Stegostoma tigrinum: one gene and its partners. The protein of the gene in region 1 purifies or fractionates together with the protein of each later gene. This does not show direct contact. Links are inferred from orthologs where the notes say so. Each region holds a gene or a part of one and is shown on either strand. Other genes may lie near its edges. The genes, in order: rbm8a, ncbp3, upf2 and upf1.

The links.
Region 2: the proteins of rbm8a (region 1) and ncbp3 purify together in Homo sapiens (co-immunoprecipitation; 3 studies listed by BioGRID and IntAct, with this or other methods). This does not show direct contact. The link is inferred for Stegostoma tigrinum from reciprocal best matches to the Homo sapiens genes RBM8A and NCBP3.
Region 3: the proteins of rbm8a (region 1) and upf2 purify together in Homo sapiens (co-immunoprecipitation; 6 studies listed by BioGRID and IntAct, with this or other methods). This does not show direct contact. The link is inferred for Stegostoma tigrinum from reciprocal best matches to the Homo sapiens genes RBM8A and UPF2.
Region 4: the proteins of rbm8a (region 1) and upf1 purify together in Homo sapiens (co-immunoprecipitation; 7 studies listed by BioGRID and IntAct, with this or other methods). This does not show direct contact. The link is inferred for Stegostoma tigrinum from reciprocal best matches to the Homo sapiens genes RBM8A and UPF1.

Annotation. Positions count from the first base shown.
Region 1 is NC_081400.1:7,593,235-7,601,182, forward strand, and holds the start of rbm8a (RNA-binding protein 8A), read right to left. Parts: upstream 3,010-7,948; 5' UTR 2,942-3,009; coding exon 2,875-2,941; intron 1-2,874.
Region 2 is NC_081380.1:46,787,977-46,795,902, reverse strand, and holds the start of ncbp3 (nuclear cap-binding protein subunit 3), read right to left. Parts: upstream 3,014-7,926; 5' UTR 2,961-3,013; coding exon 2,793-2,960; intron 1-2,792. UniProt on the Homo sapiens protein: Associates with NCBP1/CBP80 to form an alternative cap-binding complex (CBC) which plays a key role in mRNA export. NCBP3 serves as adapter protein linking the capped RNAs (m7GpppG-capped RNA) to NCBP1/CBP80.
Region 3 is NC_081378.1:5,626,417-5,633,629, reverse strand, and holds the start of upf2 (regulator of nonsense transcripts 2), read right to left. Parts: upstream 3,019-7,213; 5' UTR 2,883-3,018; intron 2,827-2,882; exon of another isoform or gene 2,709-2,826; intron 1,140-2,708; 5' UTR 1,050-1,139; intron 217-1,049; 5' UTR 108-216; intron 1-107. UniProt on the Homo sapiens protein: Involved in nonsense-mediated decay (NMD) of mRNAs containing premature stop codons by associating with the nuclear exon junction complex (EJC).
Region 4 is NC_081383.1:306,482-314,117, reverse strand, and holds the start of upf1 (regulator of nonsense transcripts 1), read right to left. Parts: upstream 3,002-7,636; 5' UTR 2,752-3,001; coding exon 2,581-2,751; intron 1-2,580. UniProt on the Homo sapiens protein: RNA-dependent helicase required for nonsense-mediated decay (NMD) of aberrant mRNAs containing premature stop codons and modulates the expression level of normal mRNAs.

The DNA of each region.
Region 1 (7,948 bases):
CACTGCACTCCTTCCATAACCAGGAAGTCCTTCCTGAGATACAGAGGCCACACTGCACCCAATACTCCAGATGTAGTTTCACCAAGGCCATGTACAACTGCAGCAAGACATCCCTCCTGTACTTGAATCCTCTTGCTATGAAGGCCATCACACCATTTGCCTCTTTCGCTGCCTGTTGTTCCTGAAATGCTTACTTTCAGCGACGAGTGCAAAAGGCCATCCAGTTCTTCTCACACCTCCCCCCTTCGTCATCTATCACAATTCGGAGAATACATTATCTCCCACCCTGTTTTTGCTGCCAGAGTGCATAGCCTCAGATTTATCTCGATTACATTTCATCGCTCAAGCATCTCCCACTCACTCAATGCTGTCCTAATCACACTGAAGCATCTCCGCATCCTCCTCACAGTTCACCTTCCCAACTTGCTTTGTCTCATCTGCAGGCTACAGATGTTACATTTTATTCCTTTACCCAAATCATTAATATATATTGTGAAAAACTGCAGTCCAAGCACCGAACCTTATCACACATCACTGCTTGCCACTTGAAAAAAAAACTCAATTATTCCTGCTCCTTGCTTGCTGTCTGCCATTCAGTTCTCCATTCATATCAGTACATGCCCCCAATTCCAGGCACTTTAATTTTACATGCTAATCTCTTATACGGGATCTTATTGAAAGCTTTCCAAAAATCCAACTAAACTTGGAGAAGGGATATTTGCTCGTGTTACTATTGGGACGCTTTAAACTAGAATGGAGGAAGGGTGGGAGGATCCTAAGCACTAGCAACAAAACAAATGATGGCCGAGGATGGCTGGAATTAGAGGAAGCGAGTTAAATAGAAAGACAGGCAAAAGCACAGCAGAGAATGGGGTAAAGCAGATGAATCAAACTGTATTTACTTCATGATCAAATCTCATTGGAACAGTATCGGGGGATCAACTCACATTGGGACAGGGTCAGGGCGGATTGATTCCCATAGGGACATGGTCACGTGATGGACTCTCTTTCAGAAAATCGGGAATTAATTCCCATTGGGACAGGATCAGGGTGAATTGACTCTCATAGACAGAGGGTCAGGTGCATCAATTCCCTTTTAGGGTTGGGGTGAAACGGCTCTTTGGGATACAGTTGAAAGATCAAGTCTCATTGGGACAGTGTGGAGGGGATCGAGTCTCATTGGGAGAGTATGGGAGGGATAGATTCTCATAAGGACAAGGTCAGGGGTATTGGCTCTCATTGGACAGTGTTGGGGGGGTCAACTGTCTTTGGGATGAGTCTAGGGGATCAAGTGTCAACCAAAGAGGGTCAGAGGATTGAAGATAACAAAGTGTGGAGCTGGATGAACACAGCAGGCCAAGCAGCATCTCAGGAGCACAAAAGCTGACGTTTCGGGCCTCGACCCTTCGTCGAAACATCAGCTTTTGTGCTCCTGAGATGCTGCTTGGCCTTCTGTGTTCATCCAGCTCCACACTTTGTTATCTTGGATTCTCCAGCATCTGCAGTTCCCATTATCACAGGGTCAGAGGATTGATTCACATTGGGGTAGTGTGGAGGGATTAAGGCTCTCAATGGGACAGGGTCAGGGGGACTGAGTCTCATTGGGACAGTGTGCGCATAAGAGTGTGGGGGGGGGTGATCGAGTCTCACTGGGTCAGTGTGGGAGGGATCGAGTCTCACTGGGACAGTGTGGGGGGGGGAAGAGATTGAGCCTAACTGGGACAGGATCGGGGGATCGAGTCTCATTGGGAGAGGGTCAGGGAGATGGAGGCTTGCTGGGCAGTGTGCGCGCATGTGTGTGGGGGAATCGAGTCTCACTGGGAAAATGTGAGGGGACAGATTGAGTCTCATTGGGACAGGGTCGGGGGATCGAGTCTCATTGGGACACTGTGAGGGGAGAGATCGAGTCTCATTGGGACAGGGTCAGGGGGATCAAGTCTCATTGGGATACTGCGAGGGGAGATACCGAGTCTCATTGGGGCAGTGTGGGGAGGGGTCGAGTCTCATTGGGACAGGGTCAGGAGATCGAGTCTCATTAGGACCGGGTCAGGGGATCGAGTCTCATTAGGACAGGGTCGAGTCTCATTGGGACAGCGTGAGGAGAGAGATCGCGTCTCATTGGGAGCGAGGGGAGAAGGAGTCTCATTGGGACAGGGTCCATAAGACCATAAGACATAGGAGTGGAAGTAAGGCCATTCGGCCCATCAGCCATTTAAATCATGGCTGATGGGCATTTCAACTCCACGTACTTGCACTCTCCCCGTGGCCCTTGATTCCTTGTGGCACCAAGAATTTGTCGATCTCTGCCTTGAAGGCATCCAACGTCAGGGAGATCAAGTCTCATTGGGACAGTCTGAGGGGGGGATGGAGTCTCATTGGGACAGTGTGGGGGGGGATGGAGTCTCATTGGGACAGTGTGGGGGGGGAATGGAGTCTCATTGGGACAGTGTGGGGGGGGAATGGAGTCTCATTGGGACAGTGTGGGGGGGGATGGAGTCTCATTGGGACAGTGTGGGGGGGGGATGGAGTCTCATTGGGACAGTGTGGGGGGGGAATGGAGTCTCATTGGGACAGTGTGGGGGGGGGATGGAGTCTCATTGGGACAGTGTGGGGGGGGAATGGAGTCTCATTGGGACAGTGTGGGGGGGGATGGAGTCTCATTGGGACAGTGTGGGGGGGGGATGGAGTCTCATTGGGACAGTGTGGGGGGGGGGATGGAGTCTCATTGGGACAGTGTGGGGGGGGATGGAGTCTCATTGGGACAGTGTGGGGGGGTGGACTCAGGCGGAAGGGGGAGCGGGGCAGGGCCGGTATGAATCCGGAGTCTTTGGCTGTCGGTGACACTGCGGAGGAGCGGGAAGGTGTTTTATTTACCGTCACCCTCATCGTCCATGGCGAAGTCCTCGCCTCCCGCCTCATGAAGATCCAACACGTCCGCCATCTTGCCGCCGCAATGGATTCTGGGGAGGGGGCGGGGAGGTGCGGTGTTCTATGGGGGTGGGGCACTGACGTTGTTTCCGGTAGGCGTGCATGACGCGATGGCGTTGACGCCGATGCCGACGCCTGCGCGTTGAGGCTTTGGTTCCCACGACCTTGTCCAGACCCAAGATGGCGTTGAGGATGGGTTAGTCCACACTAATATGCTGCTCCACTTCAACTCAGTGAAGTATCAACTCCTCACATGGGCCAGGCTCACCACTAACACCCTCATCCGCTTAGCTTAACTTCTCCTCACCCTCAACAACTTCTCTTTCGATTCCTCCCACTTCCTACAGACTAAGGGGGTGGCCATGGGCACCCGCATGGGCCCCAGCTATGCCTGCCTCTTTGTAGGTTACGTGGAACTGTCCCTCTTCCGCACCTACACAGGCCCCAAATCCCACCTCTTCCTCCGTTACATTGATGACTGTGTCGGCGCCGCCTCTTGCTCCCCACAGGAGCTCAAACAGTTCATCCACTTCACCAACACCTTCCAGCCCAACCTTCAGTTCACCTGGGCCATCTCCAGCACATTCCTGGACCTCTCAGTCTCTATCTCAGGCAACCAGCTAGAAACTGATGTCCATTTCAAGCCCACCGACTCCCACAGCTACCTAGAATACACCTCCTCCCACCCACCCTCCTGCAAAAATTCCATCCCCTATTCCCAATTCCTCTGCCTCCGCCGCATCTGCTCCCAGGAATGAGGCATTCCACTCCTGCACATCCCAGATGTCCACGTTCTTCAAGGACCGTAACCTCCCCCCCGCAGTGGTTGAGAATGCCCTCGATCGTGTCCCCCGCATTTCCTGCAACTCATCCCTCACACCCCATCCCTGCAATAACAATCAAACAGAATACCCCTCGTCCTCATGTCCCACCCCACCAACCTCCGGATACAACGCATCATCCTCCGACACTTCCGCCATCTACAATCCGACCCCACCACCCAAGACATTTTTCCATCCCCACCCTTGTCTGCCTTCCGGAGAGACCGCTCTCTCCGCGACTCCCTTGTCTGCTCCACACTCCCCTCCAACCCTACCACACCTGGCACTTTTCCCTGCCACCGCGGCAAATGCTACACCTGCCCCCACACCTCACCCCCATCCCAGGCCCCAAGAAGACCTTCCACATCAAGCAGATGTTCACCTGTACATCTGCTAATATGGTGTACTGCATCCGCTGTACCCGTTGTGGCCTCCTCTACATCAGGGCAACCAAAACGAGGCTTGGGGACCACTTTGCAGAACACCTACGCTCGGTTCGCAATAAATCGCTGCACCTCCCAGTCGCAAACCACTTCAAGTCCCCTTCCCACTCTTCAGACAACATGTCCATCCTGGGCCTCCTGCAGTGCCAATAATGATGCCACCCGAAGGTTGCAGGAACAGAAATTCATATTCCGCTTCGGAACCTTGCAGCCCAATGGTATCAATGTGCATTTCACAAGCTTCAAAATCCCCCCCTCCCTAATGAACAGGAGTAGACCAATGGGGTGCTAGTTGGTCCAGTTCATTTGTACAGAACAGACCCGGACAATTGACTCATGACTGGCATCTCCTTGGGTTCTGTACTGGGTCTCACGTTGAGCCACAGAGATATACAGCGTGGAAACAGACCCTTCAGTCCAACCAGTCAGCCAGATGCCCATCAGATATCCTCAATTAATCTAATCCCATTTTCCACCACTTGGCCCACATCTCAGTAAATCCTTCCTATTTATTTTACTCATCCAGATGTCTTTTTAATGTTGTAATTGTATCAGCCTCCACCACTTCCTCTGGCAGCTTGTTCTGTCTACGCAACCACCCTCTGTGTGAAAATGTTGCCCCGCAGGTCCCTTTCAAATCTTCCCCCCTCTTACCTTAAACCTATGTCTCTCTAGTTTAGGACCACCCTACCCTGGTGGAAAGACCTTGAGTATTCAACCTATCCATGCCCCTCATGATTTTATAAACCTCTTTAAGATCATCCCTCCGTCTCCAGCCCCCCCTGGGAAAATAGCCCCAGCCTAAACAGCTTCTCCACATAGCTCGACCCTGGCAACATTCTTGTAAATCTTTTATGAACCCTAACATCTGACAGCTTTCCTCCAGCAGGGAGACGAGAATTGAATGCAGTATGACAAAAGTGGCCTAACCAATGTCCTGTACAGCTGCAACATGACCCTCCCAACTCCCTATACTCAACGCACTGACCCATAAAGGCAAGTGTGCCAAACAGCTTCTTCACCGCCCTGTCCACCTGCAACTCCACTTTCAAGGAGCTATGAACCTGCACTCCAAGGTCTCTTTGTTCAGCAACATGCCCCAGGACCTTATCATTAAGTGTACAACTCCTGCCTAGATTTCCCCTACCATAATACAACACCTTACATTTATCTAGATTAAATTCCATCTGCCAATCCTTGGCTGAGATGCTGTTTGCTTGCTTTTTGTTGGTTCTTGGTTTAAGTTTTATTTTAATCAGGATAAATTAAAGCCCAGGATCAGGGGGCCAGCACAAAAGAGTGAAATCACAGGTAAAATCATTGATTGGTGCTAGCTACTGATTTGACTATTATACATCACTTTCAGATAGAAGTTTTACAGGCAACAAACCCAAAGGGCAGCATGAAATATTTTTGAAAAATCAAATTAAAAACTAAGGTGCCAGGCCAGGTGATGTTTTATAATTGCATGCTGTGGAAGCTGGGGGATCTCAATGTCGCTAGTAATGACCACATTCTGAGGAACTCAGGCTCAGACTCATGGAGCTAGAGTCTGAGCTATGAACACTGCTACACATCAGGGAGGGGGATAAGATTTACCTGGATGCTGGAGGCAGTCACACCCCCTAGATTAACTACCTCAAATTCTTTCAAGGACAGAAGGGTATGCAATGGGTGAGACAGGTCAAGGGATCTGGGAGGTTGTGCTGAAGGAGCCTCAGCAGTTGAGCTTGTCCAACAAGTTTGAGATTCTTGCTCCCTGCATGTCAAGAGTGGGGGCTGTAGGGAAGATGAGCAAACTCGCACTACAGTACTGCAAGCCATTCAAGAAGGGCAAGAAAAGAGAAATTCAGTTTTAAACACAGATACGTATCATCAGGGGAATAGACACGGTTTTCTGTGGCCAGGATCGAGAGTCCTGAAGGCTCCGTTACCTGCCTGGTGCCCAGATTCAGGATTTCTCATCTGGGCTGCAGAGGAGGGGAAGGATCCTGTTGTCGTGGTCCACGTCGGTACCAACAATACAAGCAGAAAGTGGAAAGAGCTTCTGCTGAGGGAACATGAGCAGCTAGGGTCTAAATTAAAGCAGAACCAAAAAGGCAATCATCTCTGGATGACTACCTGAGCCATGAGCTAATTGGCACAGGGTCGACAAGATTAAAGAGTTAAACACGTGGCTGAAAGATTGGTGTGGGAAATATTGAATTCATGGGCCATTAGCACCAGTATTGGGAAGGAGGGAGCTGTTTCAATGGGATGGGCTCCACTTGAAGTATGGTGGTGGGGGAGCGAGGGAGGGATACTAAATTGTATGGAAAATTTTGGATAATCTTAAAGAGGGGAGGGCTCAACAGAGGTTATTAAACTTGCCAGAACAAGTAATAGGATGGAGAGTGTGGAATGGGCAGGAATCAAACTTCAGGCTCAGCAGGTAAGGGAACAAGTACAGTGAGGGTGTCAATGTAGGACTAAGAGTATTGTACATAAAATGCACACAATACATGAAACAAGCTACATGAGTTTGTAGTGCAGATTGAAAATGACAGGTAGAATGTTGTGGGTATCTCAGAGACGTGGGTGCAAACTAAATATCCAAGGATGCACATCCTATCAAAAGGACAAGCCGATGGGCAGTAGGGGTGAGGCTGCCTTGTTAGTAAGAAATTAAATTAAATTAAATTGGTACAGAAGAAGTGGTATAGAGTTGGGAGGCACAGAATCTGTATGGGTAGAACTTAGGAAAAGAGACCCTGATGGGAAATATTTTCAGGCTCCTGGCTGTAGTTAGTATGTGGGGACGCAAATAAGTAAGGAGATAGACAAGGTATGTAAGGAAGGCACTATTACAACAATCATGGGGGACTAAAATATGCGGGTGTGTGTGTGTGTGTGTGTGTGTGTCTGCGAGTCGCTGAGGGAGACGCATGTGAGTGTGTGTGTAAAACAAACTCATGCATGTGCGTCTGGAATGGCTGACCTGGAAGGCTGGATTGTAAGGGCAGGCTCCTCTCGGAAGTGGGCCAGGCCCAAACAGCGAAGCAAGCTTTCAACACAGAAAGGACACCCAGGAATCCAATAAAAATTTTATTTGATCAAATGGCTAGGTGCAAAGTAGTGAGCTATCAGTCACCATGTATCAAACATATAATACTGCTTTTTAATCTAAAACGCTGGCTTCGGTACAAGTTGTGTAGTGTATAAATTCAGCCAAGTCAGAAGTAATAAGTGGATCAGAGTGAGAGGTGACGAGGTCAGTCCTGTCAAAATTCCAGCAGAGAATAAGGCATGTCAGGATAGCCTGCAAAAATGGTGCAGATTGACAGCTCCAGTGATATTGTCAGAATTGCTTACATCTGGGTGTAAGGGCTTAGTGTATGTGATATTTGTCCGTGTGGGTCACTGTGGACAGGGTGATGCAGGAACAAGGAAAGTCATTTCACCCCTCAAATCTGCTCTGCCAGTCAACAAGATCATGGCTGATCTTCTATCTCAATGCTGCTATTCCACACTCTGCCCATAAAGCCTCCAGATCTTTAATCCCTGGAAAGCTATGGATCTCTGGCTTGAACCTGCTCAAAGGTCGAACCTCCTCAGCCCTCTGGGGATAAGAATTCCAAACACAGCCCCACAGAGTGAAGAAATTCTTCCACACCTCTTAAATGACCTGCTTGCATTCAGAGACCGTGTCCTCTGGTCTCAGGCACCCTGTCCCCAAAACCCACCCCTGACTGGTTCAATCATCTCAGTTGTAATGCT
Region 2 (7,926 bases), on another chromosome or scaffold:
TAACTCCGAGACTCAAAGATCTGAGCAAAGGTAAGCATTCTAAATCCCTTAACAACCCCGTCTACAAAAAGAACATGAAGGAGCGCTAGTGGATATAAAAATATGAAGGTTCAAAAATTGGCTTTATACTGGCTTATCTTTCATTTCTTTACATGTTTGTTAGGGAAACTCTGGGAGTAAACTGGAATCAGGGTATGGATACAAAGGAGAAGGCAATGAGCATTAAAAGCATTAACACACAAGGACATACTAGCCCTGGAGCGTGTCCAGCGGAGATTCACATGGATGATCCCTGGAATGGTAGGTTTAACGAATGATGAACGGCTAAGGATCCTGGGATTGTACTCATTAGAGTTTAGAAGGTTGAGGGGAGATCTAATAGAAACTTACAAGATAATGTATGGCTTAGAAGGGGTGGACGCTAGGAAGTTGTTTCCGTAGGTGGGGAGACTAGGACCCATGGGCACAGCCTTAAAATTAGAGGGGGTAAATTTAAAACTGAAATGAGACGACATTTCTTCAGCCAGAGAGTGGTGGCCTTGTGGAATTCATTGCCACAGAGTGCAGTGGAGGCCGGAACATTGGATGCCTTCAAGGCAGAGATCGACAAATTCTTGATCTCAAAAGGAATCAAGGGCTGCAGGGAGAGTGCAGGGAAGTGGTGTTGAAATGGCCATCAGCCATGATTTAAATGGCGGAGTGGACCTGATGGGCCGAATGGCTTTACTTCCACTTCTATGTCTTATGGTCTTAAGTTGCTGGATGTAATAAAACCAAGGTGTCTTGTAACTTGGCAGATGAGTACAGAGTTTTAAACTATTCCCAGTAATCAGCAATAACTTACATCTACCTTCAGTTACTGCTCCAAAACATCACAAGGAACTTCATATGAGCATTACAAAATACAAGTATGACACTGAGCCACAAAGAGATAGCAGGTCAGAACTGTGGTCAAAGGCAGTTTTAACAGGCATCTTAAAGAGGAACAGAATGAAGCTGAGGGATTTAAGGAGAAAGTTACGGAGCTCAGAGCGCAGGTAGCTGAAGGTACAGCAGCCAATGAGGGAGGGATTGAACTCAGGACGTTCCCAGTCGAGGCCAAAACTGCAGGAGCAGAGATCTTGGAGCTGTGTGGTGCTGAGGGAAATCGTACAGATGATGAGAGGCAAAGCCACGGATGAGTTCACAAAGGAGGATGAAAATTTTGAAAACGCACTGCTGCTCGAACACGAGCCAATGCAGGTCAGACAGTGTGGGATACAAGGGGTCAGTGCTTGGTGGGAGTTAATCAACCTTGATTTCTGAGTTGTCAACAGATCAAAACATGATTTGAAGTCCCTCTGATGGAGAGATCATCAGCTTGGGAACCAACACCATAAAGTCACCAGCAGCACCCAGACAACATTACACTTACCAAACTAAACACTTTTCAACAATCTCCACCCAAAACAGGAGCTCAGTTTGGCATATTTTAAAGTAGCCAATGCCTCAGCTCATGCCCAGATAGCCACCACAGCCCCAGCCAATCAGCATTACAAAACCAGAAGATAAAAACATGACAACAGAACAGAGTAAAATTAGCTATTTCCACAATTTCATTGCGAGGGTGAAGCTGCTGTTGCAACGCACGATACGCAGAGTGTCCACAAATCCACATCCCAAACTGCCAGTGCGAAAATCCCCAGAAAAAGTGCTCATCCGGAGCGAGGCCACTGAGAATTTCACCGGAAAAGTTATTATTTGTCTCACTCAGTCAAAACAGAGGCTTCGGAGGGGACAGCGCCCACTCCCTCAGCACTGACCCTCCGACAGTGCCCACTCCCTCAGCACTGACCCTCCGACAGTGCCCACTCCCTCAGCACTGACCGTCCGACAGTGCCCACTCCCTCAGCACTGACCCTCCGACAGTGCCCACTCCCTCAGCACTGACCCTCCGACAGTGCCCACTCCCTCAGCACTGACCCTCCGACAGTGCCCACTCCCTCAGCACTGACCCCCCGACAGTGCCCACTCCCTCAGCACTGACCCTCCGACAGTGAGGCGCTCCCTCAGCACTGACCCTCCGACAGTGCCCACTCCCTCAGCACTGACCCTCCGACAGTGCCCACTCCCTCAGCACTGACCCTCCGACAGTGCCCGCTCCCTCAGCACTGACCCTCCGACAGTGCCCGCTCCCTCAGCACTGACCCTCCGACAGTGCCCGCTCCCTCAGCACTGACCCTCCGACAGTGCCCACTCCCTCAGCACTGACCCTCCGACAGTGCCCACTCCCTCAGCACTGACCCTCCGACAGTGCCCACTCCCTCAGCACTGACCCTCCGACAGTGCCCACTCCCTCAGCACTGACCCTCCGACAGTGCCCGCTCCCTCAGCACTGACCCTCCGACAGTGCCCACTCCCTCAGCACTGACCCTCCGACAGTGCCCGCTCCCTCAGCACTGACCCTCCGACAGTGCCCACTCCCTCAGCACTGACCCTCCGACAGTGCCCACTCCCTCAGCACTGACCCTCCGACAGTGCCCACTCCCTCAGCACTGACCCTCCGACAGTGCCCACTCCCTCAGCACTGACCCTCCAACAGTGCCCGCTCCCTCAGCACTGACCCTCCGACAGTGCCCGCTCCCTCAGCACTGACCCTCCGACAGTGCCCTCTCCCTCAGCACTGACCCTCCGACAGTGCCCGCTCCCTCAGCACTGACCCTGTCCTTCCCTCCTCACTCTAACCTCTCCGAGGCCTTTGTGATTCCCGCCCCCCCCCCAAACCCGGGCCCGAGGCCTGGGCCTCTCCTCACCGGGATCAGGTCCTTGAGCGACCTCCGCACTGAGATGGTGTCCAGCCTCTCGGGCTCGATCTCCCCCTCCTCCACCTCCATGGGCTCGTCATCCCTCTCGGTGCTGGCGGCCCCCTCTGCCCCAGGCCCAGGCTCCAAACAGACCCGCAGGCCCCGCACCGCCGCCATGACAAACAAGGAGTCGCCGAGGGAAAGGCAAGAGGTGCCACCTGCCGCCACGGCCGGCGTACCATCCAATGCTGAGGAGTGCAACGCGCGGCAAGAGATTACTCAGCTCGCCGTAGTTTGCAGTGAGCGGATCGCAGCGCCTCCCTGCGGCCTGGAGAGTAACTGCCCCCTCCAGCTGGAATGTCAAATCAATCAAGTGCCACCCTTTGCCCCATGAGTTGGCACTGAGCCTGACCCAAGCTTCCATCAGGACAGTTTCCCAATCCAACACTCTCCAAACTTTCACTGCCCATGATTAGTGCCCTTTTCAAGCCATCCAAAACCTCAGCCACCTGGCATTATTCCTGAATTGTCTAGTGGGATGTGGGCATTGCTGGCTGGCCCCAGCATTTATTGCCCATCCCTAGTTGCCCGTTGAGATGGTGCTGGTGAGCTGCCTTTTTTAATGACTGCCGTCAATGTGCTGTGGGCTGACACAACACACAATGTTATTAGGGAGTGAATTCCAGGATTTTGACCCAACAACTGTGAAGAAACAGCGATATATATCCAAGACAAATGGTGAGTAGCTTGGAGGCGAGCTTTCAGACGGTAGTGTTCCCATGCATCTCCTACCCTTAAGCTTCTAGATTGGTCATGGTCATACATTTTGAAAGTCTTGTCGAAAGATCTATAAATGATGAGATTTTTCTCAAGATCATGAAGGTTTGCAATTGTGGGAAGGTATGGAATTGAGCTGGACAAGTTTCCTGAATATTGAACCCTGACAAAGAAGGACATTGGCTTCTGCTTGAGGACAGTGGAGCTGAATCAGTAATAAGGCTGGCCACAGAAGGTCAAGGGGGCACTCGGTGGTGGTCTATAAGATTGAGGGGTGTGAATAGAATGAATAGAAAGCAGATATAATGCAGCATGGAGCTAGAGGAACACAGCAGGCCAGGCAGCATCAGAAGAGCAGGAAAGTTGACATTTCGAGCCCCATTTGAAGGGTCCCAACCCAATAGACCAACTTTCTTAGATAACAAGGTGTGGAGCTGGATGAACACAGCAGGCCAAGCAGCATCTTAGGAGCAGGAAAGCTGACGTTTTGGGCATGGACCCTTCTACAGTTCCCATTATCTCAAGTCAACTTTCCTGCTCCTCTGATGCTGCCTGGCCTGCTGTGTTCCTCCAGCTCCACCTGTGTTTTCACTGACTCCAGCATCGGCAGTTTTTACTATCTCTGAATGAATAGAAAGTAGGGTTGAAAGGTCGACAATGAGGATGCATAATTATAAAGTTACACACAAGGGGCTTTGAGGTGATTTGAGGAAAACCTTTTCACCCAGAGGATGGTGCGGGACTGGAAAGCACTTTGGGAGGGTAGTTGAGGTGGAAGTTCAAACCTTTAAAAACTACATGAATGAGCAGTTGAAATATCATTGCATTCAAAGTTATAGGCCTAGTATAGGTTGTAGCAAATTTTTGATGGGCCAAAGAGCCTCTTCTGTACTGGATGATTCTATGAGGTAAAACCAAATTCTAGCAGAATGGTGTGAATCCTGTCAGGAGTATTCACAGACATCTTCAACCTCTCTACTGTGATCTGAAGTCCCAACCTGCTTTAAGAAGACTGCCATCATCTCAGTGCCAAAGAAAACTGGTGCAGCATGCCCCAATGACTCCTGGTTGGTGCTCTGACATTGGTAATTATGAAGCTGGACATAGCTTAAATTACCTCTAGCCTCCCCCATGTAATCTTGATCCCTTGTAGATGGCCTACTGGTGCAACTCTCCAAGGCAGACTGTGAATACTGGAACATTTGGACAAGGAGGGATACCCAGGACAAGCTTCTTATTGATTACAGCTCTGCCTTCCAACACCATAATTCCAAACAAACTCCTCTCCAAACTCCAGGTCCAAGGTGTCTGCTCTTCCCTCTGTAACTGGATTCTCAACTTGCTGACCAACGGACTGCAGTTAGTAAGCAGAGCTGACCATCCTCAAAACTGCTGCCCTGTAAGGGTGTGTACTCAGCCCCCTACTATACTGAGACACACACTTGTGTGGCCAGATTCCACACCAAATCCTTTTATAAGTTTGCCGATGACGCCACCATTATAGGTGGAATTGGGAACAGTGATGCAAAGAAGTACAAGCAGGAGGTAAAGTGTTTAATGGCGTGGTGTAAAGTCAAGACTCTGTACATCAGTGTCTGCAAAACAAAGGAGCTGGTCATTGACTTCAGGAAGCAGAGTGGAGGGCATGCCTCTGTTTGCATATGGTTGAAAGCATCAAGTTCCATCAGTGTGTCCTGGTCCATCCGTGTTGATGCTTTTTGGTGAAGAAAGCACAGCAAAGCCTGTACTTCCTGAGGAGGCTAGGGAAATTCACCACGTCTATAAAGACACCTTACCAGTTTGCGTTGCTGCACCACATTGAGCATCCTAAGTGGATGCAATCTGGTATGGCAACTCCTCTTCCCGAAACCACCAGGAACTACAGTCCACGGTGCAAACCAGCCTCCCATCCACGGACTCCATCAATACTTTTCACTGCCTCGGGAAGGCAACTGGCATAAACAAAGGTCATCTCACCCCGGTTATACCTCCTACCCTTTTCTGTCGGGCAGAAGACATAAAAGTTTGTACACGTGTACCAACAGATTGAAGAACAGCTCCTTCCCTGCTTTTATCAGATTTTTGAAGAAGACTTATGAAATATTGATATTGATCTCTCTCCGCACTTTCCCTGTGGCAGTAACACTATCCTGCACTCTTGTACGGCTACCCTGATGCCTGCAGAGCATACAAAACAATACTTTTCACTGTATCTCAGTACATGTGATGATAACAAATCAATCAAAATGCTGCCTGAGGATCTTTGGTGAATTTCTGCAGTACATCTTAGGGATGGTACACACTGCTGCTACTGAGTGTCGGTGGCGGGGGGAGTGGGTGTTTGTGGGTGTGAGGCCAATCAAGCGGTTGCTTTGTCCTGGAGGGTGCCAAGCTTCTTGAGTGTTTTTAGATTAGATTAGATTCCCTCCAGTGTGGAAACAGGCCCTTCGGCCCAACAAGTCCACACTGCCCCTTGAAGAGCGTCCCACCCAGACCCATCCCCTATAACCCACACACCCCTGAACACTACGGGCAATTTCCCATGGCCAATCCACCTAGCCTGCACATCTTTGGGCTGTTGGAGGAAACCGGAGCACCCGGAGGAAAACCACGCAGACACGGGGAGAATGTGCAAACTCCACACACAGACAGTCGCCTGATGCTGGAATCGAACCTGAGTCCCTGGCGTTGTGAGGCTGCAGTGCTAACCACTGAGCCACCGTGCCACCCTGTGTTGTTGGAGCTGCCCCAATCCAGGGAACGTGGGGAGTATTCCATCGCATTCCTGACTTCATCCTGTACAGGACTTCACCTTTAGCACAGACACAAAGCTGGGAGGCCTGGGATGGTTATCGGCTGCATCCCGAGAGACCTCCTTCAGCTCAGGGGCCCCTGGCACAGTAAAGGCTTGGATAGCTTCTGGTGCCAGGCTGAGGGCTTTAGAGATGTTTGGTCATCCAGCCGGGGTGGTCAGGGTCAGGATCAGGATACAGGCCAGACAGCCAAACAGCTGTCCAGGCTGTGTCCGATCGTGGCTGTCTGGACTGAGGGACTGGCATCGATAAAGGGAGATGTGTTGGATGGCTTATACTGCTGGCGCAGTGAGAGGTGGAGTCTTCGGTGCAGCGGGCATACAGCGTGAGTGGTGCCAGGGGCCAGACTCGGTTGACAGCAAGATTGAGTGAGTGTGAGGTGTCAGGGAGAAGGTAGAGGTGCTGACCCTGGTGGAGTAAGAAGGACATTCCTACAGCACAGGCCATACCCACGATGCCTGAGACTGCACTGACCCTGTGCAGGGGTAATGGCCTGTTATCGAGGCATGAGGCTTCAAACCTCCTGTCATGGGGTTTTGTTAGGAATTTTTGGGGTGTACTGGGGGAATGTTTCGGGTGTATTCGTGGAGTGTGTGGGATGTGTTCAGGGGAATGTTTGGGGTTTATTGTGGGAATGTTTGGGGTTTATTGTGGGAATGTTTGGGGTGTATTGGGGTGGTGTTTGGGGTGTATTTGGGGGAGTGTTTGGGGTGTAATTGGGGGAGTGTTTGGGGTGTATTTGGGGGAGTGTTTAAGGTTTATTCGAGAGTGTTTGGGTGTACTGGGGGGAGTGTGTGGGGTTTATTAGGGAGTGTTTGGGGTGTATTTGGGGGAGTGTTTAAGGTTTATTCGAGAGTGTTTGGGTGTACTGGGGGGAGTGTTTGGGGTTTATTTGGGAGTGGGGTGTATTGGGGGACTGTTTGGGGTGTATTGGGGGAGTGTTTGAGGTGTACTGGGGGAGTGTTTAGGGTATATTTGGGGGAGTGTTCAGGGTTTATTTGGGAGTGTTTGGGGTATATTTGGGGGAGTGTTTAAGGTTTATTCGAGAGTGTTTGGTGTGTACTGGGGGGAGTGTTTGGGGTTTATTCGGGAGTGTTTGGGGTATATTTGGGGGAGTGTTTGGGGTTTATTTGGGATTGTTGGGGGTATATTTGGGGGAGTGTTTAAGGTTTATTCGAGGTGTTTGGGTGTACTGGGGGGACTGTTTGGGGTGTATTGGGGGAGTGTTTGGGGTGTACTGGAGGAGTGTTTAGGGTATATTTGGGGGATTGTTTAGGGTATATTTGGCAGTGTTCGGAGTGTATTTGGGGGAGTGCTTAGGGTTTATTTGGGAGTGGGGTGTATTGGGGGAGTGTTTGGGATGTATTGGGGAGTGTTTGGGGTGTATTTGGGGGAGTGTTTGGGGTGTATTGGGGAGTGTTTGGGGTGTATTTCAGGAGTGTTTGGGGTGTATTGGGGGAGTGTTTGGGGTGTATTTGGGGGAGTGTTTGGGGTGTATTGGGGAGCGTTTGGCGTGTATTTGGGGAGTGTTTGGGGTGTATTGGAGGAGGGTT
Region 3 (7,213 bases), on another chromosome or scaffold:
TCTTTAATTGCGCTAAACACATGAGAAACATTGTTGTGACGGCTAACTTTGCCATCCTAACTGTGAGGTCAACCCAAGGACTGAATCTGATCTGGAAGATAACTTACCAGGAGAAGGTAGAAAGCTTCAAGTGTTTAACACCACATTCCAGTAAACTAGGCACACTTCATCAGGTAACAATTGCCTGTTGTCAAATCCAGGGGAGTCCAGTGCACTCTAAAATTATAAAATGCAGTTTAATTTCGATGTACAGGTCATATCATTGTCACCATATATGGAAACAGGCAAGATCACATTTATGCACATTATGAAATCAGTAATATGTTTTCGAGCACAAGCTTTGACAAAAATCATTTCTAGGTATATTAAAATTGGCCTCTGAACAAACAGATCAAAGGCAGCAAGGTCTGCTGATTCTGGTTGCTATAATTTAGTAAAATTGTTTCATTGTGATGATGATGCAAAGAACCAAATTTTGAAACCATTCCAGTTCTTGGATTTTTTCATCCTATAATAACAACACCTAAATATACTGTGGTTTTAAAAAGTCTCACAAAAAAAACTAGAGAATATTAACCAAGAATAGGACACACAGAAGTCAACAAGGTCTTGAGTGGAGGACTGGGAATAATTTCCATTGGTTGGTGAGTTTCAACATAAAAGCATCAATTTCAAGATCTTCACAAATAAAACAAAGGTGGTCAGGAGGACTACTTTAGACAGAGAATTATAAGGGAATAGAATGTTTGACCAGAAACAGTGCAGAACCCGAACCCATGCTGACATTTGAAAGAGATGGGGAAAGCATTTAAAGTACGCAAAGAAACTGAACAGTTGGCAAGCTCCTACAGTCAGCACAACTTGATGATTAGCCGTCCCAGCTTTATAAATTCTGAGACTCTAAAAACAAATGGGATTCTTCACATTTTTTAACCAACTATCAAGCCAGTGATGTTGTGCAAGGAAATACAAGGTCACAACTACCGCAGGTGTCAATTCCAGTTGAAAACAACTTCTGTTCTCTCAACTACTGTGGTATCAAATCCTACCTTATACCAGCGTATCCGTCAAGTCATAAGATTAGTCTCAGAAGGAACTGAGTAGGTAAAATGGCTGCCTCAGTGTAGCTCACCACAATTCTGCAAGGACAAGACATTATGTCACTTTTGTTTAATTCAAAGAAATTCATGCTCCAAAATCAAATTGTTATCCTACTTTAATAGAAAAATTAATGCATGGTTTCCTCAACACAAGTATCTTTTGAATACAAAATATTATAAGTAGACTAAAATAAATAGTAATACTAATTTGCTTAAGGAACAATGTATATAGCTCACCATATATATCTATCAACATTACATTTTCAATAAAATTTCCCATTATATTAGAATTTAAAAGTTAAAATCAGCTCATTTAAACATCCCTTATGTTTTTACTTCAAAATCCCATACCAGTCATAACATTACATTAAAACGATGGTGAAGAATACAAAGGCAAAGAAAACAAATCGCTGGAATAACTCAGGAGGTCCAGCATCGCAAAGAGAAAAACAGGGTTAACTTTTGAGTCTTGCGACCCTTGAAAGATTAACCTTGTTTTCTTTTCACAGATGCTCCCAAACCTTATCTCCAGCATTAGCAGTTCTGTATGTGATTTTAGTGAACAACACTCAATAGTTGGTTTCATTTGACACCTCTCCATTCTATAATAAACAGGAAACACAGGATGTGTTTATTACCTAAATATTTACTGCAAAATACTATAACATAAACAAGTTGCACTGGACCCAAAACCCAATACCAATGGCTTCAAAATGGGTCAGTTTCTGTTTAGAGACCATAAGCTTTGGAGCAGAATAAGGCCATTCAAATTGTGGGTGATATAAAAATGAAGGTGAGGGGGTCAGATATTGTGATCAGAAAATACGACATTTCCCCATACTTTTGAAAGTCCATTAACCACAGCATTGATTAAACACACTGTAGATGAGCAAAGGGCAATGGTATTACCCTGGAAAAATCTAGAATGAAGAGGAAGGAGTCAATATCAAAATAACTATTCAGGTTGAGTGTGATGGGATGCAGTGGGAAACTTAGAAATTGAGGGCAGGTCTTCCCAAATCCAGTGGATAGAGATTGGGAAGTGAGGGAGGGGAGAGGAGAAAGGGTAAAGGGGGCAAAAGAGGGCAAAGGGGGCAAAGGGGGCAAAGGGCAAAGAGGGCAAAGAGGGCAAGGGGGAAAAGAGGGCAAGGGGGCAAAGAGGGCAAGGGGGCAAAGAGGGCAAGGGGGCAAAGAGGGCAAGGGGGCAAAGAGGGCAAGGGGGCAAAGAGGGCAAGGGGGCAAAGAGGGCAAGGGGGCAAGGGGGCAAAGAGGGCAAGGGGGCAAGGGGGCAAAGAGGGCAAGGGGGCAAAGAGGGCAAGGGGGAAAAGAGGGCAAGGGGGAAAAGAGGGCAAGGGGGAAAAGAGGGCAAGGGGGAAAAGAGGGCAAGGAAAAGTGGAGAGGGGAGAGGAACCCCACGCACACCTGGAGCTGGGTGGTGGGTTGTTGGGGGGGGGGGGGAGAGACGGTGATTTGGTGAGAGCCCTGGCTCCGGGTGACGGATGGCACAGGCCCCGGGGGCCACAGCCACTGGCAGCGGAAAGTCACAGAGAGAGAGACAGAGAGAGATCGCACAGAGCCGGGTGTCCCGCTGCGGAAAGGCGCAGTTACCGGCTCCCGGAGGTGTCCCGGGTGATAGGGAACGGGCCAGGCTGCAGTTCGAAGCGGGCACACGGAGAGCCGACAGCGGCGGAACTGACACCAACCTCCGCCTCCCCTCCCCCCACCGCCCCAGTATCAGGACCCCGCCTGCACGGCCTGACCCGACAGCCGCCTGACCAGCACCTGCGCACGGTCACGACAAAAACATAGGCTGCTGCTCGTATCGCATCGAGGGGGGGCGGCAGCAGGATGTCAGGCTCACTGGCGATAGACAGCCGCCGCCGTTTGATTTCTCTCTCTATCTCTCTCCACGAGAGACAGGCGCTCAATAGGGCTAGAGGCGTCAGGGAAGCCCCCTGACTCCGCCCCCCCCCCCCAGCATCTGCCAGACGCGGGGGGGGCGCAGAGGAGGGCAATAGGGAGCGGGGGTAATAGACACCAGGGGGGCAATAGGGACTGGGGGCAATAGGGACCAGGGCAATAGGATGGGGGGGCAATAGGGACTGGGGGTAATAAAATAGGGGGGCAATTGGGACCAGGGCAATAAGATAGGGGGCATTAGGGACAGGGGGCATTAGACACCAGGGGGGCAATAGGGACCAGGGCAATAAGATAGGGGGCATTAGGGACTGGGGGCAATAGGGACCAGGGCAATAGGATGGGGGGGCAATAGGGACTGGGGGTAATAAAATAGGGGGGGCAATTGGGACCAGGGCAATAAGATAGGGGGCATTAGGGACAGGGGGCATTAGACACCAGGGGGGCAATAGGGACCAGGGCAATAAGATAGGGGGCATTAGGGACAGGGGGCATTAGACACCAGGGGGGCAATAGGGACCAGGGCAATAAGATAGGGGGCATTAGGGACAGGGGGCATTAGACACCAGGGGGGCAATAGGGACCAGGGCAATAAGATAGGGGGCATTAGGGACAGGGGGCAATAGACACCAGGGGGGCAATAGGGACCAGGGCAATAAGATAGGGGGCATTAGGGACAGGGGGCAATAGACACCAGGGGGGCAATAGGGACCAGGGCAATAAGATAGGGGGCATTAGGGACCAGGGCAATAAGATAGGGGGAACAATAGGACAGGGGGAATAGGGACCAGGGGTAATTCAATGGTGGGAATAGGAACCAGGAAGGGAATAAGATGGTGGGAATAGGATGGTGGGAATAGAATAGGGGTATATTGACCGGGGGGTGGGAATAGGATAGGGGGAGATAGGGACGGGGGCGTGGGAATAGGATAGGGGGGTGGGGGGAACAGGATAGGATAGGGGGTGGAAGGGAGGATGGAGATGGTGTGGGGGATGGAAGGGAGGGGTTGGAATGCGTGGACTGAGGGGAGGATGAGTATGGGAGGAAGATAAGACAATGCAGGGCAGATGGGTGGATAGGGGAGGGGCAGGTGAAGGGAGAGGATAGGATGAGATAGAAGGTAGATGGAGAAGATGAAGGGGAAGCAGGAAGGTTGGAGGGGAGGGGGAGATGGTGGGGGAGGGCTGTAAGTGATAAGGAAGATACAGGAGGTGGTAGGAGGATGAGGGGGTGTGTGTTATTGGGATGGTGGAATGGGAGGTAGTGCAGAAGGAGTGGAGTTGAGTGATAGGGAGGAGATTAGGAGGAGAGTGAGAGGTCTAGGATATTGTGAGGGGAAGTGGAGGAGAGAGTGTGTGGCTGGAGCAGGCTAGTGGGAATGAGGACTGCAGAGGTGTTAGGCAATTGGGGGAGGGGGACTTGGGCAGCAGCATGGAGAAACGGGAATTAGTGATGAATTAGGGAGGGAGAGAGTGAGGTGGGACGGGATGTGAAGGAGGAAGACAGTTTAGCGTAGGAGAGCAGAAGTTAGATTAGATTAGATTAGATTCCCTACAGTGTGGAAACAGGCCCTTCGGCCCAATGAGCCCACACCGTCCCTTGAAGCATCCCACCCAGACCCATCCCCCTATAACCCACACACCCCTGAACACTACGGGCAATTTAGCATGGCCAATCCACCTAGCCTGCGCATCTTTGGACTGTGGGAGGAAACCGGAGCACCCAGAGGAAACCCACGCAGATACGGGGAGAATGTGCAAACTCCACATGGACAGTCGCCCGAGGCGGGAATCAAACCTGGGTCCCTGGCGCTGTGAGGCTGCAGTGCTAACCACTGAGCCACCATGCTGCCTCATAGCATCGGGGGAGGTGTTTTGATAGGCAGATGTAAGGGTAGAGGCAGTAGTTGTGAAGGAGGGTGAGAGGAGGGGTAAGGTATGTATGAGGGGCAAGGGAGTGTGAGAGGGGAGGAGAGAAGCTCAACTGACAGGCTTTTAGTCAAGCATTGCCGCAGTTTTAAAGTTCCAGTCATGAATTTCAAATTCCTCCGTGATCAAGCTCTTCCATTTCTCCAAAATTTCTTCCAGTTCTGCAGCCCTGACTCTCCACTTCTGGCCTATTAAGTAACCCTGATTTTAACTACTTTCCCATTGACAATCATGCCTTCAACTGGTTCTTGGCACTAGGATTCCTCCTTTTAACTCCTCTGTTTCTCTTTCCTCTGTTAAAATCAAATCTTTGACAAAGCATTTGGACACCTGAGATAATGGGAACTGCAGATGCTGGAGAATTCCAAGATAATAAAATGTGAGGCTGGATGAACACAGCAGGCCAAGCAGCATCTCAGGAGCACAAAAGCTGACGTTTCGGGCCTAGACCCTTCATCAGAGAGGGGGATGGGGAGAGGGAACTGGAATAAATAGGGAGAGAGGGGGAGGCGGACCGAAGATGGAGAGTAAAGAAGATAGGTGGAGAGAGTATAGGTGGGGAGGTAGGGAGGGGATAGGTCAGTCCAGGGAAGACGGACAGGTCAAGGAGGTGGGATGAGGTTAGTAGGTAAATGGGGGTGCGGCTTGGGGTGGGAGGAAGGGATGGGTGAGAGGAAGAACCGGTTAGGGAGGCAGAGACAGGTTGGACTGGTTTTGGGACGCAGTGGGTGGGGGGGAAGAGCTGGGCTGGTTGTGTGGTGCAGTGGGGGGAGGGGACGAACTGGGCTGGTTTAGGGATGCAGTAGGGGAAGGGGAGATTTTGAAACTGGTGAAGTCCACATTGATACCATTAGGCTGCAGTGGGAGGAGTCCCGCAGGCCCGACCAGTCCCCCTCCACCGACACTCTTATCCGCCTAGCTGAACTCGTCCTCACCCTCAACAACTTCTCTTTTGACTCCTCCCACTTCCTACAGACTAAGGGGGTGGCCATGGGCCCCAGCTATGCCTGCCTCTTTGTAGGTTACGTGGAACAGTCCCTCTTCCGCACGTACACAGGCCCCAAACTCCACCTCTTCCTCCGGTACATTGATGACTGTATCGGCGCCGCCTCTTGCTCCCCAGAGGAGCTCGAACAGTTCATCCACTTCACCAACACCTTCCACCCCAACCTTCAGTTCACCTGGGCCATCTCCAGCACATCCCTCACCTTCCTGGACCTCTCAGTCTCCATCTCAGGCAACCAGCTTGTAACTGATGTCCATTTCAAGCCCACCGACTCCCACAGTGGACCTAGAATACACCTCCTCCCACCCACCCTCCTGCAAAAATTCCATCCCCTATTCCCAATTCCTCCGCCTCCGCCGCATCTGCTCCCACGATAAGACATTCCACTCCCGCACATCCCAGATGTCCAAGTTCTTTAAGGACCGCAACTTTCCCCCCACAGTGATCGAGAACGCCCTTGACCGCGTCTCCTGTATTTCCCGCAACACATCCCTCACACCCCGCCCCCGCCACAACCGCCCTAAGAGGATCCCCCTCGTTCTCACACACCACCCTACCAACCTCCGGATACAACGCATCATCCTCCGACACTTTCGCCATTTACAATCCGACCCCACCACCCAAGACATTTTTCCATCCCCACCCCTGTCTGCTTTCCGGAGAGACCACTCTCTCCGTGACTCCCTTGTTCGCTCCACACTGCCCTCCAACCCCACCACACCCGGCACCTTCCCCTGCAACCGCAGGAAATGCTACACTTGCCCCCACACCTCCTCCCTCACCCCTATCCCAGGCCCCAAGATGACTTTCCACATTAAGCAAAGGTTCACCTGCACATCTGCCAATGTGGTATACTGCATCCATTGTACCCGGTGCGGCTTCCTCTACATTGGGGAAACCAAGCGGAGGCTTGGAGACCGCTTTGCAGAACACCTCCGCTCAGTTCGCAACAAACAACTGCACCTCCCAGTCGCAAACCATTTCCACTCCCCCTCCCATTCTTTAGATGACATGTCCATCATGGGCCTCCTGCACTGCCACAATGATGCCACCCGAAGGTTGCAGGAACAGCAACTCATATTCCGCCTGGGAACCCTGCAGCCTAATGGTATCAATGTGGACTTCACCAGTTTCAAAATCTCCCCTTCCCCTACTGCATCCCTAAACCAGCCTAGTTCGTCCCCTCCCCCCACTGCACCACACAACCAGCCCAGCTCTTCCCCCCCACCCACTGCATCCCAAAACCAGTCCAACCTGTCTC
Region 4 (7,636 bases), on another chromosome or scaffold:
AGAGGTCACCAAAAACACCATGTTACTGGATAGAGATAACAACAGTTTAGAACTGGAGGAACACAGCAGGCCAGGCAAAAGAGTAGTACAAACGTTGACGTTTTGAGTCAGGACTGTGCTGACAGAATATATCTTAAACAGCTTGAAGCATCACAACCAACCTGAGTTTTTTTTCCCCCCACAATAATTCATTGGACATGGTTACGTGCCCCCTGCCATATTGCCAGTCAAACATAAAACATGTCCATAAGCACACCTTAACCTAAACTGCAACCATAGAATCAAAATTAAAAAGTTTCTAATGAAGCATTATACTGCTTCTTACACACACATTTAGAGTACTGCGCACAATTTTAGTCACCACACAAAAGGATTGCTGTTGAGAATTTGGAAAGTATGCAAAAAGGGGTTTACCAGGATGTTGCCTGGACTGGTGTATATTAGGTATAAGGAGAGACTGGCCAAACTTAACTCAGAGATAGTAAGAACTGCAGATACTGAAGTCAAGAGATAACAGTTTGGAGCTGGAGGAACACAGCAGGCTAAGCATTATCAGAGAAGAGGAAAGTTGACGTTTCGGGTCAGGACAAACTGTTTTTGTTAGGATCGAAGTTTTTGTAGGAAGGGGGAAAACAATGGCTTGATAAAAGTATATAAAAATTAGAAAGTCATGGATAGAGTGAATCCTCAGAGTCTTTTTTCCCCAGGATTCGGATGTCAAATACTGGGACGCACAGGTTTAAGGTGAGGGAGGAAAGTTTAAAAGGATAGGTGCGAAATAAATGTTTTTATAAAAAGGTGGCAGGTACCCAAAATGCGCTGCCAAAGTAGGTAACAGAAGGATATGCGATAGCAACATTTAAGCACCATTTAGGCAGTCACATGAATAACAGAATATGAACTTTGTGCAGGCAGATGGGATTTGTTAATGACAGCAGCATGGTTGGCAGAATATTGTGGGCCAGAGAGCCTGTTCCTCTGTTATACTGTTCTATATTGTACATTTACATACAAATACACACAGCTGCAATGCTGGTCATTACCCTCTGTCTTAGGTGTGTGGTTAAATGCAAGTCATAGCTCCTTCAACATGCTATTTTTCCAGTGAGATTAAATGTTTGACAGGTATGACAGTACATCAGAACAACAAACAGCATTCAGTACTTGCCTCAAATCCAAGCCCATTATTTACTACCCCAGCATCACGGTACATCAATACAATATTGAAATGGTTCAAACTGTAATTTTGGCTCAACTATAATGTTCAAATAAATACTTAGCTTATAAAATGTAGTGTGGTGTTTTCATGAGCTTTGAGAAACATACGACCACTTCAACTGAACTTTAAGAATTCTAAATATACCCCACGCTAGAAATCCACACAACTGTTCCCTCAGTTGTTTTACCCCTGATGTTTTGAGGACCGAGTATATGGGGACTTACTCTGACCTCAACAACTTCACAAGTTCTAATGGCCAAAACAACTAAACTACAAATACATGATTCACCCACAAGTCCAATAATTCTTGTTGAAGTCAAAACATCTAACTTGTCTTCCTACCTGCACTTATTGCAATTTTCATCGTCTCTGGATTATACAATGCCTATTCTCTCAGGCCACTGTAGAGTAGTAATACTCTAATACCAAAGGTGGGTCACTCAGAATCTTTACATGGAATTTTATTGCACTTATTCCTGCTGCTGATGCAACCAACTGTCACTTTTAAACAAGAACAGGTATTTTGCAAGTTTTCTCTCACTTCCAAAACAGTGGCAACCTGATATCTGCTTTTGGGTGGTTAGGTGGAGGGTCTTCACTTCACCAAATTATCATTGTCCCAAAGCCTCAGGTTGCATATGTCAACTAAAATGAACCCAATGGAGCTGGCAACAGGAGTTCAGTTGAATTGGGGCTTATTTTCATGAAGTTGAGAAGCAGCAGCAGGGAAATCAGAATGTGGAGAATCCTGTGTATTTTCACATCAGCACTTACACACAAAACACAAAAATCGATCTAGCATATCAGGGAGCTCCAGCCTCATTCCCTTAATTCCAACAACCTTCTCTCAGACCAGCAGCCCACTTGCACTACTCCCTCCAACCAACACTTCAACAGCTCCTCACTCCGTATATTCCCATCGTATCTATTACAGCTTCCACTAGCATTAAGTGCCATCGGGGTACTGCACAGGGTGGGGAGAAGAGGAAGGACATATCAGGTCTGTCGGGAGTGAAGGTAGTGTGGCTCGGGTGGGGGGAAAGGGAAGGGACACAGGGAGACAGCAAGAGTGACTACCCCCACACCCACCCACCACAAAAAAAATCGGGCCTTTGAAGGCCCAGCCTTCGCCACCTCTCGCCTCCGCTTCCTGCCCTCCATGTGGGTCCTAGCCGACAAACCCGACAGCCGAAGCTGAAGCAGCAACGAGGGACTACACTCAGAGCCCGCACGGAAAAGTAGGCTCGAGTGGGGAAGGGGGCTAGTTCGTACATCCTGTGTTTAGGCCGCGCGGCCTGGGACTGGCGTGTTTTCCTTGCGGGGGGGGGGGGGGAAGTGCGGGAAGCCCCGTCGCTCCTTACCTGGCCTTCGATGGGCCCTTGGCTCTGGCCTTGTGTTTGTGTTTGTGACGGTAAAGTGAAGTCGGTGAACTCGAACTCGGAGCCCTGCGTATCGGCCCCAAGCAGCTCGGCCTCCTCCGTGTCTAGGAAGGTGAGAGTCTGAGAGCTCGGCCCGTACGCGTCCACACTCATGGCGGCCACGGCTCGGGAGCGCGCACTCGCCCCCGGCGCGATTCAAAACCCTGGGAACAACCGCTGCGCAGCACGCGCCGGGCGGATGAGAAGAAGCGAAGCGAGGCCGGGCCTTGGCTGAGCCTACTCGGCGGGGAGCCGGGCAGCGAAAGGGCCGGTAGGCGCGGGTTCGGGAATCGATCGCTCGGCAGCGGCCCGAGAAACCCAGCGAGAGCCGCAACTCCCCCGCAGCGCTGACGTAGTGCACACAGCGTCGTGACGCACGCAGAAACGTCATTGCGCCCGGACCTGTGGTGACGTCATCGCCAGCAAGAAGCGATGCCGTAATCCACAGGAGAGCGGCGCTAAGTGAGTGGGCGGGAGAAATTTACCCCGACACCCACAAACCCAATCTTCCCTCCCACACGCAGTATGCCCACCCTCAGCCCCACCCCACCACCCTGCCCCATCCCCACCCTCTCCCTCACCACCCTGCCCCATCACCAGCCTTCCCCATCCCCACCCTCACCCCCCCACCCTGCCCCATCCCCACCCTCACCCCCCTCCCTGCCCCATCCCCACCCTCACCCCCCTCCCTGCCCCATCCCCACCCTCTCCCTCACCACCCTGCCCCATCACCAGCCTTCCCCATCCCCACCCTCACCCCCCCACCCTGCCCCATCCCCACCCTCACCCCCCCACCCTGCCCCATCCCCACCCTCACCCCCCTCCCTGCCCCATCCCCACCCTCTCCCTCACCACCCTGCCCCATCACCACCCTTCCCCATCCCCACCCTCACCCCCCCACCCTGCCCCATCCCCACCCTCACCCCCCTCCCTGCCCCATCCCCACCCTCTCCCTCACCACCCTGCCCCATAACCACCCTTCCCCATCCCCACCCTCACCCCCCCACCCTGCCCCATCACCACCCTCACCCCCACAACCCTGCCCCATCCCCGCTTCACCCCCATCACCCTGTCCCATCCCCACCCTCACCCCCACCATCCCCAATCCTCACCCTTAACCCCCACCATCACCATTCCCACACTCACCCTATTATCCTCAGCCCTGCCCCAACCCCATCCCCACCCTCAGCCCCACCACCCTGTCCCATCCCCACTCTCGCCCCAACCACCCTGCCCCATGCCTACCCTCACCCCCACCATCTTGCCCCATCCCCACCCTCACCCCCATCATCTTGCCCCATCCCCATGCCCACCCTCACCCCTACCACCCTGTCCCATCCCCACCCTCACCCCCACCACCCTGCCCCATGCCCACCCTCATCCCCACCACCCTGTCCCATCCCCACCCTCACCCCCACCACCCTGTCCAATCCCCATCCTCACCCCCACCACCCTGCCCCATCCTCAACCCCACCACCCTGTCCCATGCCCACCCTCACCCTCACCACCCTGCTCCATGCCAACCCTCACTCTCACCACCCTGTCCCCTCCCCACCCTCATCCCCACCATCTCCAATCCTCACCCTTAACCCCCAGCATCACCATTTCCACACTCACTCTATTATCCCCAGCCCTGGACCCACCATCACCACATCCTCAGATCATAACCACCGTCCCCACCATCACCACTTCCAACCCCCAATGCCTTTATAACCCCCATCTCCACCCCTCCTCCTCCCCCTTACATCCACTATCCAGCACTCTATTACCACCAACCCCCTCACAGACCAGTAACTGTCTACCCTCACATATACCCACCTTCCTGCACTCCCACTCCACAATGTTAACCACCGCAACAACCTTACCACCAGCCCACACCTACCCCAACAGCAACATCTATTATCACCCCACTAACCCCCTGTTATCCCACCCCCTCACACTTCCAACCCCAGTCCCCCCACATCCCTTATTATCATATGCCAACAATCTCTTCACAACCCACCTACTTCATCACCTCACACCCACTGGTGCCCTCACACCCACATAGTTCACACCCCTTCAAACTTCACCAAACTCCCTAGACACACACCACCAACTCCAACCACTCACGTCCTAACTCCTCATAGCCCACCAACCCCCACAGACCCCTCACACTCCCACTCCTCATGTCCTCTAACACCCTCAAACAGACTTCTAAATCCACTCACACCCATCCCCAATAACCCAGGGCCCTTAAACCGCCTCTCCTCTCCCCATCACTCAAATATCCCACTCCCCACTTTACACAAACCAACATACCCCACAGCACCATCATTTCATGCCTACAACCTCAAAGCTACCCCTCTATTTCCCCTTACACAGCCCAAGTCCTCTCCACTACATCCAGCCCACCCACATGCCCACTTCCCTCAAACAGCCCACCCAAACCCAAAACACACCTCATTCTATCACCCAACTCAACCACAGCCACCTTAGCCCCCTTTCATCATCCCAAATCCCAGCCTCCTCCCACACTCACCCACTTAACCTGATTCACGTAATCCACCCCAACAGCACTCACATCCCGGCATCCACATGTTTAACATAGTCATACAGCATGGAAACAAATTCTTCAGTACAATACACCCATGTTGACCAAGTTTCTCAAACTAAGTTACTCCATATCCCCAATATCATCCCTCTCTCATCTATCTCCCTAACCCCTCAGTCTCACCCACATGATCATCACCCAGCCTTATGTCATCCATCACCCCAACATTGCAAACCTCATTCCTCCACATTACCAATCCAGTCTTTCAATCTCACTCACCGAATCACCAAACACCCCCAACTACACAACAAATAACCCTCATTCCACCTGCATATTCAATACTTCCTATCCCCTTGACCACTCTCAACACCCGACCAATCTCACCATTTATTGTTTCACACCAACTGCCACCTTCACCATCACCTCACTCACTGCTCTCACCCAACCCTCACCCTGCTCATTAGTTCTTGGGCACCTTCAAACCCCTATCATTCCTGCTCAACCACCCTCTCATCCACATCAATCCCTCATCTCCCTCGCTCATACACAATTTCACCCTATTTCCCTTTCCTCCCCCACCCAGGTTCATTCTGTTGGCTACATGACTAACATGTAGATCAGCCAGCAACAGTGTTGGATTGAATCCATGTTGAAACTGAGGTGGATTCAGGGTCTGCTTTTTTGTCCACCAATAGTTAAAAGGTCTCGAGAATCTGTCTTCAGCCAGATAATTAAGAGTCAAAGCCCACATTCCATGAAGCAATAAAAAAATGTCCTTGGCTCAGTGTTCCTGTCTCACTGACACCTTACCTCTCAGTACGTCTGTCCCAGCATCAAAGCCTCTAGAACAATGCATTCCCCAAGCCATCTGCAACCTCACCCAATGCTGAGTGTTTCCCCACTTCAATAAGGACCTTTTGGTCAGTTATTGAAGTGCACCCTGTAGATGGTATGTCACTAGTGAACATTGAAGGTGTCAGATTGGGTGCCAGTCAAGCAGGCTGCTTTGCCCTGAATGATGTTAAACTTCTGGAGTGTTGATGGAGCCACATTTGTCCAGGTAAGCAGAGAATATTTCATCATAATCTTGACTGGTACCATTTAAAACACTGAAGCTTGAACACACATCAACAAGTCGAAGAACAACTTTTTCCCTGCAGTTGTTAGACTGCTGAATGGACCTCTCTAATTTCAAATAATGTTGATCTTGCTAGTTTTGTGCTCCTGAGATGCTGCTTGGCCTGCTGTGTTCATCCAGCCTCACATTTTATTATCTTGCTAGTTTTGACCTTGGTTTTGCACCTTCTGTGCAGCCATAACCTGTATGCCTCGTTCTGTCTATGATCTGTATATCCTTGTTTGCTATCATTTACCTGTACTACTCACAACTTTTGCACTTAGATACATGCGACAACGATAAATCAAATCAAATGAAAGATGAACTGCCACACCTCACCAAGCCTTCTTTGACAATACCTTAGAAACCCACCCCCTATTACTTATAGAAAGATAATGGCAGCAGATGCTTGGGAACACTACCACCTGCATGAGATCCGCCATGTCAAACATCATGTTAACTCAGGTAGAAGGGTGTGAATGCCAAGTGGTTAGACAGGAACAGAGGTAAAGTGGGGTTGCAGTGAATGAAAAGGACCAGTGTGTGGGGGACGTGGTGTGGAGTGGATGTGAACAGCGTGAGGGTGGCGGCATGAATAGCGTGAGAGGCAAGAATGTGAACAGAACAGCGTGGTGCAACATCCAATCCAGTTTAGTCTGGCTGCAATGTGGACTGACTGAGTTGAGGAAAAAAAATCAAAATGGGATAACACAGGAAAACCAGCAGTTGTTTAATTGGTGATTATTTTTCTCATTAATTTTAATGGATAAAGAAAGGGAATAATTGTGAACATAAGCTAGTAAGAAATATAAACATGGATTGTAAAGCTATTATACGTATGTAAAAAGAAGATGAGGAGCAGGGAGAGACAGGTGGGTCACTCTCAAATTGGCAATGTCTATTGGGGTACCTCAAGGATCAATGCATGGATCTCTGCTTTTCACAATCTATATCAACGATTCAAATATAGGGACCAAATGTAATATTTCCAAGTTTGTAGATAGAACATAGAACATAGAAAAGTACAGCACAGTACAGGCCCTTCGGCCCATGATGTTGTGCCGTGGAATAATCCTAATCCAAAAATAAAATAAACTAACCTACATTCCCCTCAATTCACTGCTGTCCATGTGCATGTCCAGCAGTCGCTTAAATGTCACTAATGACTGTGCTTCCATGACTACCACTGGTAAACTATTCCACGCGCTCACAACTCTCTGGGTGAAGAACCTGCCTCTGACGTCTCCTCTATACCTTTCCCCTAACACCTTAAAACTATGACCCCTCATGGCAGTCAATCCTGCCCTGGGGAAAAGTCTCTGGCTATCGAAGATGACACAAAACAAGATGGG